Astyanax mexicanus: one gene and its partner. The protein of the gene in region 2 interacts with the protein of the main gene of each other region in a biochemical or structural test. Links are inferred from orthologs where the notes say so. Each region holds a gene or a part of one and is shown on either strand. Other genes may lie near its edges. The genes, in order: eme1 and slx4.

Region 1 (9,619 bases), on a different chromosome or scaffold from region 2:
CACGAGGTAACCGCATGCATGGCCTGCATCCACATGGTTGGGCACGTGCTTGTATATGTGAACACGTGTGGAAAGCTGTGCACCTCAGTTCAGCACAGTTTATCAGCGCAGATATTTCCAGTTACAGCTGAATTCACGCTTTTAATCACAGAAAAACAAACTCTTATTTACCTTTTAAAAAGACATTTAAATGCATGATTAAAGGGCTGATTAAAGGGCTCCTCAGGTTCTGACTCAGCTCTTGATTGGTCCAGACACGAGACAGTAGCGCGCGGGTGGGGGCGGGGCTGGTGACATCATGGTGATGCCCTGCATTGTTTAATATCGCGATATATACCGTCAGAAAAAAAAAGAACATTTGCAATGTAATTTTTTCCAGTATCGTGCAGCACTACCTCGAATATGTCAAATTAAAGGGCATTTTAAGGCATTTTAAGACTATTTAAGGACCCATGTATACTCTGCTACCTGGATCCACGGCCACAGCCATGTGTTTGAGGCACTCCTCGGGTCTCATGGCCTTCACAGCGTCCGCCATCGCCTTCTTCTCTGCTCTCAGCCTCTCTCGCTCCCCCTGCTGCTTCTCTCGCGCCGCTCTCCTCCTCAGGGCGTCCTCCTTGGCCGCCTCCATTTCCGCAGGGGTCCTCTTGCCCTTTCGCGGATTTTCCCCTCCTGACAGAAGGTCTTTAGTAACACATGCTGCGTCATAATTACCGCTCTGATGACTAATGTTACTGGAATATTTTCCCAGATAATCCGCTGCCGGCCCGGTCTCAGGAACACGGTGAGCAGACAGGGCTGGTGACGGCTTAGCCGTTGTTAAGTTTCCGTTATGATTAGCAGCGATATGATTGGCCAATGATGTCTGAGCTTTAGAGACATCGCTCTGTTTCTGCTTTAGTCTCACAGCCAGCGGAATAAAGGCCTCCTCCTCCTCCTCACTCTCACTGCTGCTCACCATATGAACATCACTCTTCATCACAGCTCCAGATCCAGCTACTGCAGGAACGGCACTCTTGGTCCAGGAGTCAGAGTCAGCCTCAGAGCCGTCCACAACCACTAGATCACATTTTGAGCTCTTTGTTTTATCCTGGGCATTTCCACGCTGTGAGAAATTAATAAAAGGAAGCTCCTCCGAGTCGCTGGAGTCCGTATCGCTGAACTGTAAGCATGGTCTGCTGTTGGATCCCATCATTCAATCACCACCGGCTTCCTTCACTCTGTAAAAAGAGGAAATATGCAAGTTTATTCTATATTAAACTATTTAAAATGCAATTTTAAAAAAGCATTTGGAAATATGGGAATAATTTCCCAAAAAGAAGCATAAAAAAGAAAACAATAACTACTAAAACATAAATCGATATATCTTCTGAAAGCCTCTCTTTCTCATGTAACCCAACATTGATCAAAGCTAGAACTAAATATTCACTAAAATTAAACAAATGAACAAAAAAAAACATTAAACAAGAAATGAATTGAGAACCAGCGTTCTAACTGTACAGATCATGCAAAAATAGCATGGTAAAGATCAGATAAGCTTACTTTTATGTATGTATGTATATGTATATATATATATATATATATATATATATATATATATATATATATATATATATATATATATATATATATATATATATACACACACACACACACACACACACATATATATATATATATATATATATATATATATATATATATATATATATATAATTTTTTTTATTATTTAAGACTTTTTTAAGTCTATTTTAAGACTATATTTCTTTTACTATTTTACTTTACAATAAATGGTAAAATACTGAACTTGGCATATCTTAAAATTCAGTATATATAATATACATATATATATATTTGTTGCTTATATATTTTAACTTTTATGTGCTTATTTTTAGTTGCATTCTTATTTAGATCTTAGATATACAAGATATACAAGATACTTTTAAATAAGAATGCAACTAAAAATAAGCACATAAAAGTTAAAATATATAAGCAAAATATATATATATATATGTATATTATATATACTGATAATATATTTCAATATAATAATAATAATAATTATTATTATTATTATTATTATTATTATTATTATTATTATTATTATTATTATTTCATTATTTTCCTTTGACAACCCCTTCCCTATGTATTGGCATGGGATTTTAAAAAAGCAAGACCAATAAAAATATATATTTATTGGACAATACAATTTCATACATGTCAAATAGGAGTGTAATACAATATCGATATTAGAAATAGACTTTTATGCAGCACTGTATTGATTCTCAAAAATTCAATATTGATTTTTAATAAAGGGTTTACCTCCAAAGATTTGCTAAATGTCTTCACATCCTACTATTCTGATTGGATAAACAGTACACTTTTATTTTACTCTGATTTTATGTATTTGATGGTGTTTTAATATTTTTTTTAAATGAACAAATACATTGCACTAATTACAGTACAGAAACATACTAATTCATAACCCCTGTATTGTGATACAAGTCATATAGTCATTTATTTCACTAATACTTTTTGCCCATTTTTATACACTAAAAATATGTTTGATAAATTAACCTTAAATATATTTATATATATATTTATATATATATAATAAATCCTATCAGATATCAGCGTATTAATATAGTACTAAAATAAAGAGAGTAGGTGATATAATGTTGAGTGTTGGCGAGAGGCTGCAGAGCTGCTGATTTACCTCAGTAGACCTGACTGCAGCGAGCAGCGGGAAGGTGAGATGATCCTACATTTACAGCTTTGATGTGAAGCTTTTCTAGGCCAACCTACATAATGTAGAAGATAAAAATGAGGCGCCAAAACCGCATCAATAATGTAGCAGCTGAACTGAGCTCAAACTTTCCTGCTTTATCTCTCTATCAGGAGAAGTATTACTGTTACTGAGACAGAACAACAAAAACAGGGTAAACTGGGTTAGGAGAGATCATTTTCAGAATATTGTGCCTTTTGGAGTCTCATAAAAATTAAGATTTTTATTCTTCATGTCTTCAGACTAAAGAGAAATCAAACTTTTTTTTAGCTTAATCACTTTTTAATTTTTAATAGTGATGCACTGATGTAGGAATTCTGGGTCAATATCCAATATTACATATGTATATTTCTGCTGATATACATGTTTATAGCTTACAGAGAGATTACACACCCCAGTATAACTTTAACATCAAAACTAGTACAATTTTTTTTTTTTTTAACTTAGATTAAATCATTGAATTGTAGTTAGGCCAGCTTTGCTTTGTCCTTTTGCAGCATACAATAAATATAACAACTAGGGGTGACTATTTTTGACTATTTTTTAACTTTGGGGCTAATTATATGACTGACCAAGTTATCAGGTAACAGAGACAATACAATGATGCAGTACATAGGAAAATATATTAACAATAAAACAAGTAAGTCCTAAAAAACAACATTATTATAATTAGTTTTTTTTTATGTCAACTGTGATTAAGACCTTATACATATTCCTGGCAGTAAAACTATAAAAATTGAACAGATTATTTACATTTTTGATGAAAACATGATCAAATACAAAGTAATGTATAAATTCTTAATAAAGACATATTTAACTCTCATAGAATTCCTGATAATAACATCCGGCTTGTGTATATATATATATATATATATATATATATATATATATATATATATATATATATATATATATATATATATATATATATATAGGTATATAATTAGATCATATTCCTCATCAGTAGGAAACACAAATGGAGGGAATGATAAAAATAATTATGACGAATCGACTAATCGAAAAAATTATCGGCAGATTAGTCGACCACTAAAAAAGTGAGTAGTGTGGGAGGGAGGGGCACTGGGTGATGTATGGGTTTAGGGTTGGGGGCAGAACACATCATCCTTGGCTATAGTACAGTTGAACCTGCGAGGGCGCTGGAAAAAAAGTAAATAAAATAAAATAGAAAGGCGTTTTTTAAAGATTAGGAAATGTTTATAAAATGTTAAGCAGAACTGGTATGTTTCAGTACTTCAAATTAACATTTTACAGCTGTTAATAAATAAATGAAAAAATATGGTTTAGTGCATCTTTATAGAAAACTAAAGTGAAAAATGTATTAAAAGTTCTTTAAAGTGACGGATAACATTTCTCTATATGTGTAATAATGTGTTAAATTACAGTAATTGTTGTTTTCAGTAGTAAATGTGTTGATACACAGTGTTTATATGAAATATAAAACTATATAAACTATATACAAGTTATATAAACGATACTACAGCACCATAAACACTTACTGCGGGTGTGGAAGACGGCAGCAGCACTCCTCGCAGCGCTGGGTGTGAAATAAAGGCCTAATAAAGAAGTAAAAAGGTTAAAACTGTGTAAAAATCTGTAGTAAATAATCTCCGCTCTGTTTACCCTCCACTCTTCAATCTCCCGGGCTTCCTCTTCCTCTCCTGCCGCCGGGAAGCAGCTCTACACCGTGTACAGCCCACTGCTACCCCCTGCGGCCACCCAGCAGCTCAGCACTGCACACTGTACTATACTACACTAAATAAAAACTATTAAATAAATCAATATAACTATAAGTTTACTGCACATAAACAAAAAATAATAAATAACAGTATATAAACCTATATTTTTTGTTGAAAAAACAACCAAAAAGTACTCCAAATATATTTAAATATTACATAAGTAACCAAATAAATTGCTCCAAATACACTTAAAATGCTTTTTCAAATGAAAAAGAATAAAATACTTAATATATAATACTTAATAAGAAAATAATAAGAAAATAACTTATTTACTTTATTTTACTGATATACTCTGTACTCACCAAATGTATATTTTATGTTAGAACCTGAATAATGAACATTAAAAAACACTTTTTTTCATTTACAAAACAAAAAGAAAATAATTTACTTATTCAATAGACAGTAATACAGCTAAAATCTAATTGTTTCGCGTTTTAATTTAATATATCTTGTGTATTTGCCAAAATGTATAGTTGTTTGTATATTTGTGTGAAAAAAAAAAATATATATATATATATATATATATATATATAGAGAGAGAGAGAGAGAGAGAGAGAGAGAGACTTTTTTTTACATGTTTATTATTCCTCATTTATCATTGAATAACGTTTTAAACGTTTCAAGAAAAGTCTAATTGTTTTCTGTTTTTAATGTAATATTTTAGTCTCCTACACTGAGTAAAAGTGCGGTGGGCGTGGTTTGTTGAAATCTCGCGGGATCTGGCGGAGCGTGGTTCTCGGCGCGTGTTCCAGCATGGCTGCGCTCGTGTCCTTGTTGTTGCGACCCAGAGCCGGTGAGTCCCGGGGTTTAATCCGCGGTTCTGCGTGTTACTGTGATCCACAGCGCGGGGTGGAGCGGGCAGGGAGGCGGGTATATGCGGGGAACGGGTCGCTGTGTGATTGTCGCTCTGTGTTTCTGTATTATAGGTGTTATGTGCTGGTGCTGTAATCCTGCAGTATCCTGACCCCTGTGTCTCTCTGTATCTCCCTGTATTTATTTGTATCTCCCTCTCTCTCTGCATTTCTTTCTCTGTGTCTCTGTATCTTAATGTATTGCTCCGTGTCTTTCTTTGTATCTTTGTTTATCTCTGTATCTTTATGTCTCTCTGTGTATCTCTCTGTGTCTCTCTGTATCTCTGTGTCTCGCTGTATCTCTGTGTCTCGCTGTGTATCTCTCTGTGTCTCGCTGTGTATCTCTCTGTGTCTCTCTGTATCTCTCTGTGTCTCTCTGTATTTCTCTGTGTCTCTCTGTATCTCTCTCTGTATCTCTCTTTGTATCTCCCTGTCTCCCTGTATTTCTCTGTGAATCTTTCTGTATCTTTGTGTCTCTCTGTATCTCTGTGTATCGCTCTCTCTCTATCTCTTTCTGTGTATCTCTCTGTGTCTCTCTGTATCTCTGTGTCTCGTTGTGTATCTCTGTGTCTCTCTGTATCTCTCTGTGTCTCTCTGTATCTCTGTGTCTCTCTGTATCTCTGTGTCTCTCTGTGTCTTTCTGTGTCTCTCTGTATTTCTCTGTGTCTCTCTGTATTTCTCTGTGTCTCTCTGTATTTCTCTGTGTCTCTCTGTATTTATCTGTGTCTCTCTGTATCTCTCTCTGTATCTCTCTCTGTATCTCCCTGTCTCCCTGTATTTCTCTGTGAATCTTTCTGTATCTTTGTGTCTCTCTGTATCTCTGTGTATCTATCTGTGTCTCTCTGTATCTCTGTGTATCTATCTGTGTCTCTCTGTGTATCTCTGTGTATCGCTCTCTCTCTATCTCTTTCTCTGTATCTCTCTGTATCTCTGTTTATTTAAGCTACAGCTGCTCCTTATCTGTGTATTTTACAGACAAACTGGAAGTATATGAGTTGAGTATATGGCTTGTTGCTGTTTTAGTTGCTTTATTTTTCTAGCAATTGCAGCATTTTAAGTTCAAAACTGCTACCAAACTAATACAATTAGTTATTGTTCCAATAAAACATAATTAATTATACTCTCACTGTATTCAAATATTGAATTGACTGTATTCACTAAGTATTAAAGATAATTAAACCCCTTGATTTTAACTGACTCTACCCTCAGCTCAAATTTGGTAAATGCAAAAAAAAATAAAATGTGTGGCAATGGGTGATGTATGGGTTTAGGGGCGGAACTAACTGACTGATTTGCCTAATGCGTGTAGGGTGTTAAAATACACGGGAACATTATCCTCGCCTATAGCACAAATAAAAGTGTTTTTTTTTAAAGGTTAGGAAATGTTTATAAAAATAAATAATATAAATGTTATAAAAAATTTTATTACTATAAATGTTTTATTACTACAGAGGAACACATTTCAGCTATTAATAATTTTTTTTTTTTAAGTTTACGGTTTAGTTCCTCTTTTATATTTACCACCTATTATAAACTACTCTTAATATGTGGCCCAAGTGCAGGTGCTGAAGGCATATCAAACAGATTGAAAAACAGATTAGGAATAGCCAAATTAACAATCAGCAAGACATCAAAAACTATATTAAAAGTGTATTTATTCACACACCTTGTATGTGTATTCTTTCTCTGCAGGTTTTCTCACATCATGCCCAGTGCCAGCAGTGGTGGTGCCCACAAGACTGGCATCTAAGAAGGCCGGAGGAAGCAGTAAAAATCTGGGAGGCAAAAGTCCCGGCCGCAGATACGGATTTAAACAACACGAAGGTATTAATTACTGTTTATAAAAAAAATTACATAATTCAAGGATTATTAGGCACTATTAACAGCTAGGCCTGTCGCGATAATTGTGTTATGGATTTATTATACAATACACAACCTCTTTTAGAGTATGGGTTATATTTCCATTAATTATTTAGAAATTCTCAATATATATATATATATATATATTTCTCTTTAAATGGAAGTAATGACATTATTGTGTTGTTATTATTATATTATGAATATATCAGTGGCAAAAATGGTCTTAAAATACACTAATATCATTAATCGTAATTATTTTAAGAATCCACACAAGGATTTGTGACAGTGGGAAACGCGGGAAAAAATTATGTTCTGTGTCTTTACTTGCATTGTTATTAGTCCTGCACTTTCTTCATTTTTCCAAGCTCCTCATATTTTACTTTAATCTTTGGTTTATTTTTGTTTAAAGGAGATTTTGTTCATGCTGGCTACATCCTGGCAACACAGCGGGCACTGCGCTGGCACCCAGGAGCTCATGTAAGTGTTATTATTATTATTTTTTTGTTATTACTTTATCTTTGACAATATAACATGTATATGTAGCGATAGAGATGTAGGGTGTCCTAATTGTTGTTGTTGGTGTAAATCAGAGGTCATTAATAAGCAGAGCGTGGGTCTGGTCTGGTCAGTAAACCCACAGACCAATCACCTGTTCTGTAAGATCACCAAACGCTCTCCTCAGCCAATCAGATCTGTGCAGATGCTTTAGGGTGGAGCTACACATGGGCAAAGCATGCAGTTAGAAGCAGCAGTCAGAGAATAAAGCAAGAAAGGCTGATTTAGATGGTGCGCACCAGAAAATTAAATTAAATTACTACATTTATTTATAAAACATACTAACAGTTAATAAAATAAAACCAAGTTCAGCAAATAACGAACATTTCTCCATATATTGTATCGTATGATTTGTCATTTATGTAATTATTTTTATGACAGGCAGCCTACATCTAATATAAACAAAATCAAATAGAATAAATAAAGCATATATTTAAAACATTTTCACATTACAATTTTTTATCGTTTCACCCCTAATCATAACACAAGGTAAAAATGATGACGATCCGGACCTCGGCCTGACTAAAACGTACTGAATTCTAATAAACTAACCCTAAGATTGCTTAAATTGCCACATAAACTGACCCTCAGTTGTCGCTCCTCTGTCTTTTCTCTCACAGGTTGGCATCGGAACGAACAATACCCTCTTCGCCCTGGAGGACGGCAGGGTCAGATTCACCAAGGAGGTGTACATTCCTCGTCCTCGCAGTGCTGAAGCGAGACATATGATCCCCAAGCTCCCGAAAGGAGCCGTTCTCTACAAATCCTTCATCAACATTGTTCCCACCAAGCAGGAGAACAATTTCAAACTGGTCGACTTGGTTTAAAAGAGACTCGCTGTTTAACTCATGTGAACTTTTGCATTTTGATGTGGATCATTTATGGACTTAATGGAGAATTGCCTCACCCATAAGGCAAATTTTTTTTTTTTTTTTTTTATGTTTGTGAATAAATGAGCTACTCTACTGGTATGAAATCACCTGCTTTTGTTTACTTTCTTAAAGGACTCATTCCATCATTTTTATTAATTTTAAAAAGTCTAGTTGTGGTCTCTAGTATGAGTGGAAAAAAAAAAAAATCTCCGGCGATCCAGTATAACGCTGTTTTAGTCCAGTGGAAGAGTGGGGGGACAGAGAGAAACGATAGGATTTCGGCTCTTGCTCACGAATATTCATACATGCAAACATATCGCCTCTGATTGGCTTACAGCACTGCGACACCAGGAGGCAGTGAGACGGACATTTAAAAATGTTTTAAAATAAAGACATTTTTACACTAATAACAGTCTTTACAATGTCATATGTTACTTTACAACATGTGTAATAATGCCCTGCTAAGTGCAGTTCAGCCTATATTGACCTAGACTTAAGAGTCTCTGTAAAACACCAAATCCACCGAAGATCCTATTTAAACCTATAGTTACCTATTAGTCCAGGTCCAGAAAGTAAAAATCCACCCCGGGGTGGATTTTTACTTTTAACTAGTGTAAACAGAACTGTTCTAAACATCTAAACACCTATCTATCTCAATTGTACTTGGCTGGTGGTGTTTTCCTCCATAGACTAATTCTAACCATTTGTTTCTTAGCTCTGAATTACTGGGTAAAGTATATGAACACTGATGTGTTATTCGCACAAATAACACAGGAATGAACTGCATGCTGTTTCTAGCGCTGTTAGTTATCTCCTATCTGATGAGACGGCGTCGCTGCCCGGCTTCAGCTCTGCCTGTGGGCGGTCCCGAGCCGAGGTGGGCGGGGCCATGAATACTAATTCACGGGTTGATGTAGACACAGTGCTTTTCCTGATCGA
Region 2 (10,005 bases):
ATTGTCGATCAGCTGAACAGGGTTTTTACTGTATTTTATTTATGTTCTCTTGGTCGCAATAAACTAATTAAAAGGCAGCAAAAAACGTCCATCTTTATTCTTGTAATATATATAACTTGAATCTCTTTTTTTTATATATATATAAAGAGTGTCCCTCATAGCAGACATTAACAGTTGAGTGTTAATCCCGCCTGTGTGCGCATGAACTGAAAAAAAAAAGACTTCAATCACTTGAATTTGAAAAATCGTTCACACGATTAAAAAAAATAAGAGCACGAACTGCAATATACATCGCTCTATTAGATTATTTTAATAAAAGGTAAATAAAAGGTTTGTCAAAAAAAAATCTAAAATAATGTTTTTTTAAATAAGTTTCTGAAATGATCAATTTTGTCACTGAGTTTTAATTTTATATTGATTAAAATAGATGAAAAAAAGAAATGAATTAAATGTTCAACCTGTTTTTATAATTTACTGGACAGTCAAAGACAATATGAAAAACCTTATGAAATCTTAATTTAAATGCATAATAATTTAAGATAAAATATGAAGGCAAAAACTGGAAGAGGTTTTGATAACTGCTTTAAAAAATGTTGTCTGAATCGTCTATTCAACCGTTATTTTCATTTGTTTGTCATTTTTTTATATTTTGAAATTATGTAGAAGGGATAAGAGGTAAATGTTTATTAAACTGTAGTTATAAGTGCAGTCAGAAATAAATCTGTCTTATAAAATCTCTAAGCTAATGTTTAAATTTGGATACAATATAATTCATTGGATGGGCTTTCCCTGCAGCCCTGTAATTTTCAACCCTGTTATTTTTACATATATATATATATATATATATATTATATTTGTATATATTTTTATATATTTATTTATATATTTATTTTTGATGATGATAAAATAATATGAGGTAAATGTTTGTTGAACTGTGTGTGTAACCTACAGGATAGTCCAAAATGAATAAAAACTTGATAATAAAATCTTAGTATGTACAATATGTAAAACTCGCGCTGATACATCACAGCTACAACAGGGAGAGAGGAGGGGGAGGGCTCCCTCTAGCGGAAATGAAAATGATAAAAATTAAACTTTCATATATTTTAGATTCACCAACTGCACACCAACTGAAATATTTCAGGTCTTTTATTGTTTTAATACTGATGATTTCGGCATACAGCTCATGAAAACCCCAAATTCCTATCTCACAAAATGAGCATATCATAAAAAGGTTATCTAAACGAGCTATTAACCTAATCATCTGAATCAACGAATTAACCCTAAACACCTGCAAAAGATTCCTGAGGCTTTTAAAAACTCCCAGCCTGGTTCATTACTAAAAACTGCCGACCTGACTGCTGTCCAGAAGGCCATCACTGACGCCCTCAAGCAAAAGGGTAAGACACAGAAAGAGATTTCTGAACGAATAGTCTGTTCCCAGAGTGCTGTATAAAGGCAACTCAGTGGGAAGTCTGTGGGAAGGAAAAGTGTGGCAAAAAACGCTGCACAACGAGAAGAGGTGAGCGGACCCTGAGGAAGATTGTGGAGAAGAGTCGATTCCAGACCTTGGGGACCTGCGGAAGCAGTGGACTGAGTCTGGAGTAGAAACATCCAGAGCCACCGTGCACAGGCGTGTGCAGGAAATGGGCTACAGGTGCTGCATTCCCCAGATCAAGACACTTTTGAACCAGAAACAGCGGCAGAAGCGCCTGGACTACAGAGAAGCAGCTGTTGCTCAGTGCTCCAAAGTACCAGAGTAATTAAGGTGCCAGAGTCTGGAGGAAGACTGGGGAGAAGGAAATGCCAAAATGCCTGAAGCCCAGTGTCAAGTACCCACAGTCAGTGATGGTGTGGGGTGCCATGTCAGCTGCTGGTGTTGGTCCACTGTGTTTTATCAAGGGCAGGGTCAATGCAGCTATCAGGAGATTTTGGAGCACTTCATGCTTCCATCTGCTGAGATCAAGAATTAATTTTTCAGCAGGACCTGGCACCTGCTCACAGGGCCAAAACCACTGGTAAATGGTATTACTGTGCTCAATTGGCCTGCTAACACTCCTGACCTGAAGCCCATAGAGAATCTGTGGGATATTGTGAAGAGAAAGTTGAGAGACGTGAGACTCGACACTCTGGATGAGCTTAACGCCGCTATAGAAGCATCCTGGGCCTCCAGAACACCTCAGCTGTGCCACAGGCTGATTGCATAACTGAACATATCTATTTGAAGGTTGACTTTTTTTGTTTTAAAAACACTTTTCTTTTATTGGTCGGATGAAATAGGCTAATTTTTTCTTTACTTTTTTGCCAAAATCATCAATATTAAAACAATAAAAGGCTTGAACTACTTCAGTTGTGTGTAATGAATCTAAAATATATGAAAGTCTAATGTTTATCAGTACATTACAGAAAATAATGAACTTTATCACAATAAGCTAATTTTTTGAGAAGGACCTGTAGAATCTCAAACAGGAAACAGGAAAAACTCCATAGCTTAGACTGTCCCATTTCAGTAGAGCCGCTGCAGCCTACCCATCCTACGAAGGACACACTTTCGTAGACCGCGTCCTTAGAAGGATACAGCCCCTGAATTGGGACACACCTATAGTCACACATGACGATTGATTGCTGATCATTTTGGAAGATAGAGCTGTGGACTGATGACACTAAAAGTGTTGGAAAAGAACACAACATTCCAAGAACAACACTCTACTGCTCCTCACAGTAAAACGTGGTGGTGGTTCATCGTGCTGTGGGGCTGTGTGATCAGTGCAGCTACTGAGAATCTTGTTAAAGTTTAGAGTCTCATGGATTTCAGTCAATATCAGCAGATTCCTGAGAACTGTGTTTAATCAGTGAGAAAGTTGAAGTTGCGCTGGGGCTGGATACTTTAACAAGACAACTATGCCAAGGGTGTAGGAGCGGGCTTGATATTGGGGGGGGACACATTTGCCAATATGAACCCAAGCCCACCCTATAGTTTCCTAGAACAACATTTGTGGAAATACTTTTAATTAAAAGTAAATTATTATTATAAGGTGATTTTACAACCTTAACATGTTACTCAGTGTAACAGTAACGTTACAGTTACTGTTGTTAGAAAAATTATGCATGCAATGACTGAATTATATACATATGACAAAAATGTTCAGTTATCACCTAATATTTAAAATAATATAACAGATTTGTTTATTATTATTATTATTATTATTATTATTATTATTATTATTATGTATTGGCATGTCAATTCTGTTGTATATTTAAATTTTCTCCTGTGCTTTTATTTATCTACTGAGAGCTCTTCTTAAGATGGTGACATTTTATGTAAAAGAATGTAACTTTACGTTTCATAGAGATTTTTATAAACGTCAGGACATGTGGTCTTACTGTGAACTACAAATGAACAGAAGTCACGTTACAGCAGTGTTTCTCAACCCTGTTCTTACATATTCTACTGAATATTAACACTGTTCTGCATATCAGAGCTTCCTCTGCTTTAAAGGAACTTAATAAAGTAAGTGGTGGTATGATGTGTCTAAAACACTGCTAATATACATGATTAATACAGGCTCCATAGTGGGCTTAAAGATTTTAACAGGTAAACTCAGTAAATGACTGTTTATTAGCTGATCAGCTGGACCAGGTGGAAAACACAGTTTTGGGGCAGTGATCGGGGTTAAGAAACTGCTTTAAACTACAAACATAAAGTACTTTATTAAATTCTGACTATCTACTACATGCAGCTTCTAGATTACTAGTTAGTTAAATTACATTTCTTTCATTATAGCTCACAGTATATCCTGTAATCCTAAATTAATAAACACAGTTGGAAAATGTAATAATGATTAGCTGATCAGGTACAGGGCAAGTTGAACATTACATATATATATATTTTTTTTTCTTTAACCTTGACTCCCACTCTAACTAATTCCAAATTTAAGATAACTGACTCACACAGCTGCAGTTTATTAATCACTGTGGGTTTACAGTTGACATGATTAGCTCCGTTACCTTTCTGTTAGAAAAATCTCCGTATATCCAGATCTGTTTTAAAATCAGCTGAAGCTGCTGCAGCCCGATCCCGCTGCTAAATCTCACAGCCAGGGAGGGGCTTCCCCCGTCAGCAAGCTGATTGGCTGTTTCTACTGGGAGGCGGGACTTAATACCTGAACCGGCTCCGTGATCGGTCTGTCTCCTCATTAATAGTACAGCTGAGCTGAGCGAAACAATATCATTTTGGGGGGGACAAATCCACCTGTTTCTAATATTGTCAATTCACAAATTTATGCACTTGCCTTATTTTGTTTAAAGAATTATTGCACACTTTCTATAAATCTTATAAACTTAATTTCACTTCTCAAATATCACTATGTTCATCTGATATATGATATATTTAACTGAAATTACCGATCTGACAAATTATCAGGGGTGCCCAAACTTTTTCATACCCCTGTAGCTACTATCTTGTACGCTCCTGTGAGTGTCTTTAGGTCTAAACATTTAAAATAATACAAACAATAACCTCACCTGGTCCCTCAACATCAGCACCATAACCAAGAAAACCCAGCAGGACCTCCACTTCCAGCAAAGACTGAGAAAAGCACATCTTCCACCTCCCATCATTACCAGAGGGAGTGTAGAAAGCATCTTAAGCACCTGCATTACCGTCTGGTTTGGGAACTGCAACACCTCAGACCTCAAGACCCTACAGCGGATAGTGAGCACAGCTGACAAGATCTGGCAGAAGAGACAGGAGCATCCGAGCCTCCACTACCAGACTCTGCAACCGCTTCATCCACCAGGCAGTCAGACTCCTCAGCACACAGAGACAGAGCTGAACCCACCCCCAACCACACACCCAACACACTCACACAGAACTGAACTGAATCTCCACCACTATTCACACACACATACAAGAACTGTAGTAAACCCACCCAACACTCTTCACACACACACAGGGACTGAAATGACACCCCATCACTCCTCATACACTTACACACACACAAAACAAAACTGTATCAGACCCCCGCCCCACAGATTTGCAATCTGGTATGTCTGCTATAATATTCGTTGTTCCATGTACCATGGTTCCATAAGAACATAAATATTGTGTTGAAGAAATTAGTACATTTTTCAGAATGAAAATGATTAAACACATATATTAAGCACATATATAAAATCTGATTGTGCTGAAATGCATTTATCACTCAGGATCGTGCGTATACTGGTGGTTCAACAAACCCCTAAAAGATTCTTTTATGGGTATTTCTCTTTGTTTGAGATTATTTCCTGCCATAAACAGCAGCGTGTGTTTGTAGATGAACTAACTACAAATCCCACAAGCCCCTGCGCAACCCGGCGTGAGCGCGAATACGTCACTGTACGTGGGAGAGGCGGTTGTGGTGGAGAATTTTGAACGTAGGTTAGCTAGAGGCTAGCAGGCTAACTAGACTGATTTAGAGAGATTAAAACACGGCTTTTAGACTAAAAACAGCCACCGCTTTCAGTGCGGTTAGTGTAGTCCCACCCACACGAGATGTTAGTGGGGTTTAATGTGATTTCTGTGAAGAAATATAGCTAAAGTAGTTGTTAGCTGGAGTTGTTGTGGTAAGGAGCTGATAGCTGATAGAGACACTGGGTAACGTTAGTTAAACGTTACTTGGTTGGTTGGTTAGGACAGTAAACTGAAGAAGCTACTGGTCACCATGCTGATCTGATCCGAACCTCTGGGAGATGTTGTTCTCTACCTGGCGGCCATGGACGACTCGGACCAGGAGTTCTCTGATCTCTGCTCTCGGCTCCTCAAGAGGGTGAAACGGAAAGATTCTGGGGATGAGAAGAAACCAGTCGCAGCTCCAGATGAAGCTGCAGGTCCCTCTCAGAGCAGAGCTCCCCCCAGGAGGAAGAGGCAGAAGAACGGGCAGCTCCAGAGCCAGGCAGCGGGCAGGTCGCAGCCTGTCTGTCCGGCAGATGGAGCCTCCTTTCTCAGCGTGAAGGAGAAGGTGCTCCGGAGGATGGAGCGCTTTAGGAGAGAGAGTCCTCCCCGGCTTCTCCATGTGGAGGCAGAGGAACATCGGGGGGAGACAGTATCACCACCCAGACGAGGTAGTAATACACTCACAATCATCTGTTATGTTCTACAGTATGTGACTTTCTACTGTATGATGGTTCCCTGCTCATAAGCAGCTTCTGCTGGTCTACACTGGTCTTTGATGGTAAAGGTACTTGAAAAGCTGGTGATCCAGGTGGAAATAGCTACACTGTACTGGCGAACTTGCTGGTTAACCAGTTGTTGACTAGCGTTGTGTATGTTAAATGTGGTCACGATTGGATATGCTGGCATGCATGTTGGTCATACTGATCAGCAGCCTTGGTCATGCAGGTGTAACAGTTAACATTTTTATGTAAAAAATAGCTCTGCAAAGCTGAACAACTATATGGAAACAATATGGTGATGCCAACTATTTCGTAACTATTAAATCTTGTTGCAACTTGTATTGCTGGTGGAAGAGCATCTACTAAATGCCATACATTTAAATATTTGTGTTTGTCAGAGCTCAAAGAAGAAACTGAAAGTGATGAAGCACTGGCTCGGAGGCTCCAGCAGCAGCTGGATCATGAGGCTGAGACCCAGGCTGTGGTGGACACAGAGGGTAAAGGCTTGTTCTTGTGCCAGCTCTGCTACAAAGACCTGTCAGCTATGAGCCCTCAGCTACGCACTCAGCATATCAACAGGTACTGCAGCAGGCTAGCACTAACTACACTGAAACAATACTACTGTGGCAGATTCTTTAAACTGGCTACAACTGGTGATCCTCACTCGTCCAGGATGGCATACATATCTTAGATAAAGTCATATTCCTCCAGTGTACAGTGTACTCCAGTATAGTACACTACACAGCCAGATCATATTTGTAACAGGAGTCAATTATAATAATAATGCACTCCAAAGATCTCCATAAATCCAGGAGTAAAGTAAAATAAATTATACTGGACAGATATAATCTGTCTCTAGTAGACAAATTCGTACAGTGTGAATTCCCTTTTCTTAAAAATAGCAAAAAGTGGTGATATTTCAGAGTATAATATCATTCACAATATTCAAATATGTTGGCGATATTATTGAGTATAATACAGCACACCCCTAATTGGCACAATATTACAAAACTCAATATTGTAATACTTTGCTAACAAATTGGTATTTTCCTTTGTTATCCCTGTGTGGCACAGCATACTCTTATGCTCTCCTTCATCTCCTTGATTCAGGTGTTTGGATGAGAGTGAGAGCTCCTCTGAAAAAATCTCTGAAGCTCCTGCTGCTCCTGCATCTGCACTCCAGCCTCGAGTTCCAGAGTGCCCAATTTGTGGGCGTGGCTTTAAGTCTGAAAAGAGTCGTTCCACTCACTTGAAGCGCTGCTCCGCCAGCATGGGCGTGTCTCCAGCTGAGCTTCTGCAGGCCTTGCAGAGACAGGCGTCTGAAAGTTTGAGCGATAGTGCGGCTGAGCAGTAAGTAGCTTCATATTTTTGTTTAAAATGGTATATGACCTCAATCACACACACACACATACCTGTGTATATGTATGTATGTGTGTATATATATGTGTGTGTGTGTGTGTGTGTGTATATATATGTATGTATATGTAGAGTTTTAATTTAACAGGGGAAACAGAAACTGATCAGGCTCTGTAAGTGGTTCTGGTGGTTTTCTCCTTCTGCTCTTGACTCCCAGTCGGCAACTGGACCACATATGTAGCATGCCAAATATTTGCCAGGTGTCTGCGACTCGTCAGCGATCACTTTGTGACGGCTCGGCGAGTGTCTTTCAGTATTTCACACCACACATCTAAGTGGACGCTGAGAGATTTCTACAACAAACGACTCACCGCTGTGCTTGCAAACAAAGGCTTTGCCACTAAGTGGATTCCACTCTCTCTTTTACAGCTCACATCAACTCTGTGGTGAAAACTGCATTCTTTCATCTGCGCAGAATAGCTAAAATTCCACGATCCGTTACTCAGTCCACTGCTGAAAAACTCCTTCATGCTTTCATTTCCAGCAGACTAGATTACTGTAACTCCTTGCTTGCTGGCATTAGTTCTTCCTCTATCCATAAACTCCAGATGGTACAAAACGCAGCTGCCCGTTTACTCACTCACACTCGCACCCATGAACACATTACACCTGTTCTCCAAAATCTTCACTGGCTCCCTGTTAAATACAGGATTCAATTCAAGATTCTCTTACTTACCTATAAGGCATTAAATAATCTTGCACCTCCTTATCTGTCAAACCTCCTTCTTCCTTACAGACCATCTCGATCCCTTAGGTCTGCTACTGCTGGACTTCTTAAAGTCCCAGCCTCTAAACTCCATGGCTTTGGTGATCGGGCTTTTTCCAGACTTGCTCCTCAACTATGGAATTCTCTCCCATCTGCGGTCAAACAATCCTCCTCTCTTTCCTTGTTCAAATCTACACTCAAGACTCACCTCTTTTCTCTTGCCTACGGCCTTCCCTCTGTTTAATGTACTATACCACTTATCCCTGCTGTCTGTTCTCGTACTATGTTGATTTTCTGTCACCACTTGTGTAATGTTTCTATTTGTTTTCACAAATGATGACTGTAAGCGTCTTTGGGTTTTAGAAAAGCGCTATATAAAAATAAAGTATTATTATTATTATATTAAGTATTGAGTGTGTTTGGCAAGAGAGATCAAATACTTATTTTCCTCATTGAAATACAAATTAATTAAAATATATTCTTTAAAATTATATTCTGGATTTTTGTCTTGATATTCTGTCTCTCCATGTTAGAATATATCTACTAGGGGTGTCACGATTCTCTAAATCCTCGATTCGATTTCATTTTCGATTTGAGGGTCACGATTCGATTCGATTCTCGATTTTCTTGTTTTTTTTTCTTGTTATTATTTTATGCCTCATAAAATTTAAATATATTTATTATTATTATTATTATAAATATTATAAATATTATTATTATTTATTAAGATATATATGGTAATGCCATCTAGTGACTTATTTTGGTAGCAACAGTGTGCACTATTAAAACAAGCAGTTTATCAGAGCTGTGTGTGGATGGATGGTGAAACTGCTCACTTACATGAAGCTGCAGTTCTTCATCAAACCACTAGTCGGAGCTGCAGCAGCAGCACAAGCCCAGCCACGGGCTACAGAGCTCAGCCAGTCCGTTTTTACTGTTTCTGTAAACAAATAAAGGTTTTAACCCCACTAACCGGATAATACAGCTCACTACAGTTCATCTTTCAGCCCAAGCAGCTAACAGCAGCAGGTTAGAACAGCCGACACGGAGGCACTGCTCGGATTACATTATAAACAGGTCAGTTAGCGCGCTGCTAACCTCAGGATGTTTATAACTACGGAGTTTAGTGGACACACCACGGCCGCCAGGTAAGTCTTTTAAAGGCTACTGAAGACTATTAAAGGCTATTAGAGGTCATTGAAAGCATTATTGGGGGGCAGAAATCAGTACAGGCTGGTTAGATAAGTGATGTGGTGAAACTGTGACTAGCGCTGTCACAGTGATGTTTATTAACGTCATTAAAACAGATTTTGTCAGGTATTGTCTTATAAATATTTACACATAACTTATATCTCTCCTGAAAAGCTTTTATTTTAGTCAGAAACACGCTTGTGTTTACTTTATCTGAGAGAAAGATGTTTTTTTAATTCAATGGAAAGCAACAGGTGTAGTCAATTATAAGTTTAAGATTTTTAATCCACCTCACTATGATCTATAGTCAGTGTTCTCAAGTCAGACTGACACACGCATTTCAGCGAGTTCACACGCTCTCACCTGCGCGCACCCACCCCTCCGTTAGATACAGATACAAAACCTGCGCGCCCAACCCCCGTCCCCCCCTCCCCCGTTGGACAGATAAAAAACAGTGATCACACTCCCGCCGACACTCAAAACTTGAGAGCCCTGTCTATATTTCTATAAATCCGTTTTCAGTTTCTCCTCCGTGGTTG

The links.
Region 1: the proteins of slx4 (region 2) and eme1 form a complex in vitro, tested with the Homo sapiens proteins (3 studies listed by BioGRID, with this or other methods). The link is inferred for Astyanax mexicanus from reciprocal best matches to the Homo sapiens genes SLX4 and EME1.

The regions. Positions count from the first base shown.
Region 1 is NC_064422.1:44,692,397-44,702,015, reverse strand, and holds the start of eme1 (crossover junction endonuclease EME1), read right to left. Parts: upstream 4,510-9,619; 5' UTR 4,303-4,509; intron 2,802-4,302; 5' UTR 2,717-2,801; intron 1,221-2,716; 5' UTR 1,196-1,220; coding exon 469-1,195; intron 1-468. Other genes in the region: mrpl27 (39S ribosomal protein L27, mitochondrial), read left to right, coding at 5,296-5,335, 7,086-7,217, 7,663-7,730, 8,429-8,635. UniProt on the Homo sapiens protein: Non-catalytic subunit of the structure-specific, heterodimeric DNA endonuclease MUS81-EME1 which is involved in the maintenance of genome stability. In the complex, EME1 is required for DNA cleavage, participating in DNA recognition and bending.
Region 2 is NW_026040046.1:1,761,969-1,771,973, forward strand, and holds the start of slx4 (structure-specific endonuclease subunit SLX4), read left to right. Parts: upstream 1-5,368; 5' UTR 5,369-5,753; coding exon 5,754-6,102; intron 6,103-6,551; coding exon 6,552-6,732; intron 6,733-7,263; coding exon 7,264-7,503; intron 7,504-10,005. UniProt on the Homo sapiens protein: Regulatory subunit that interacts with and increases the activity of different structure-specific endonucleases.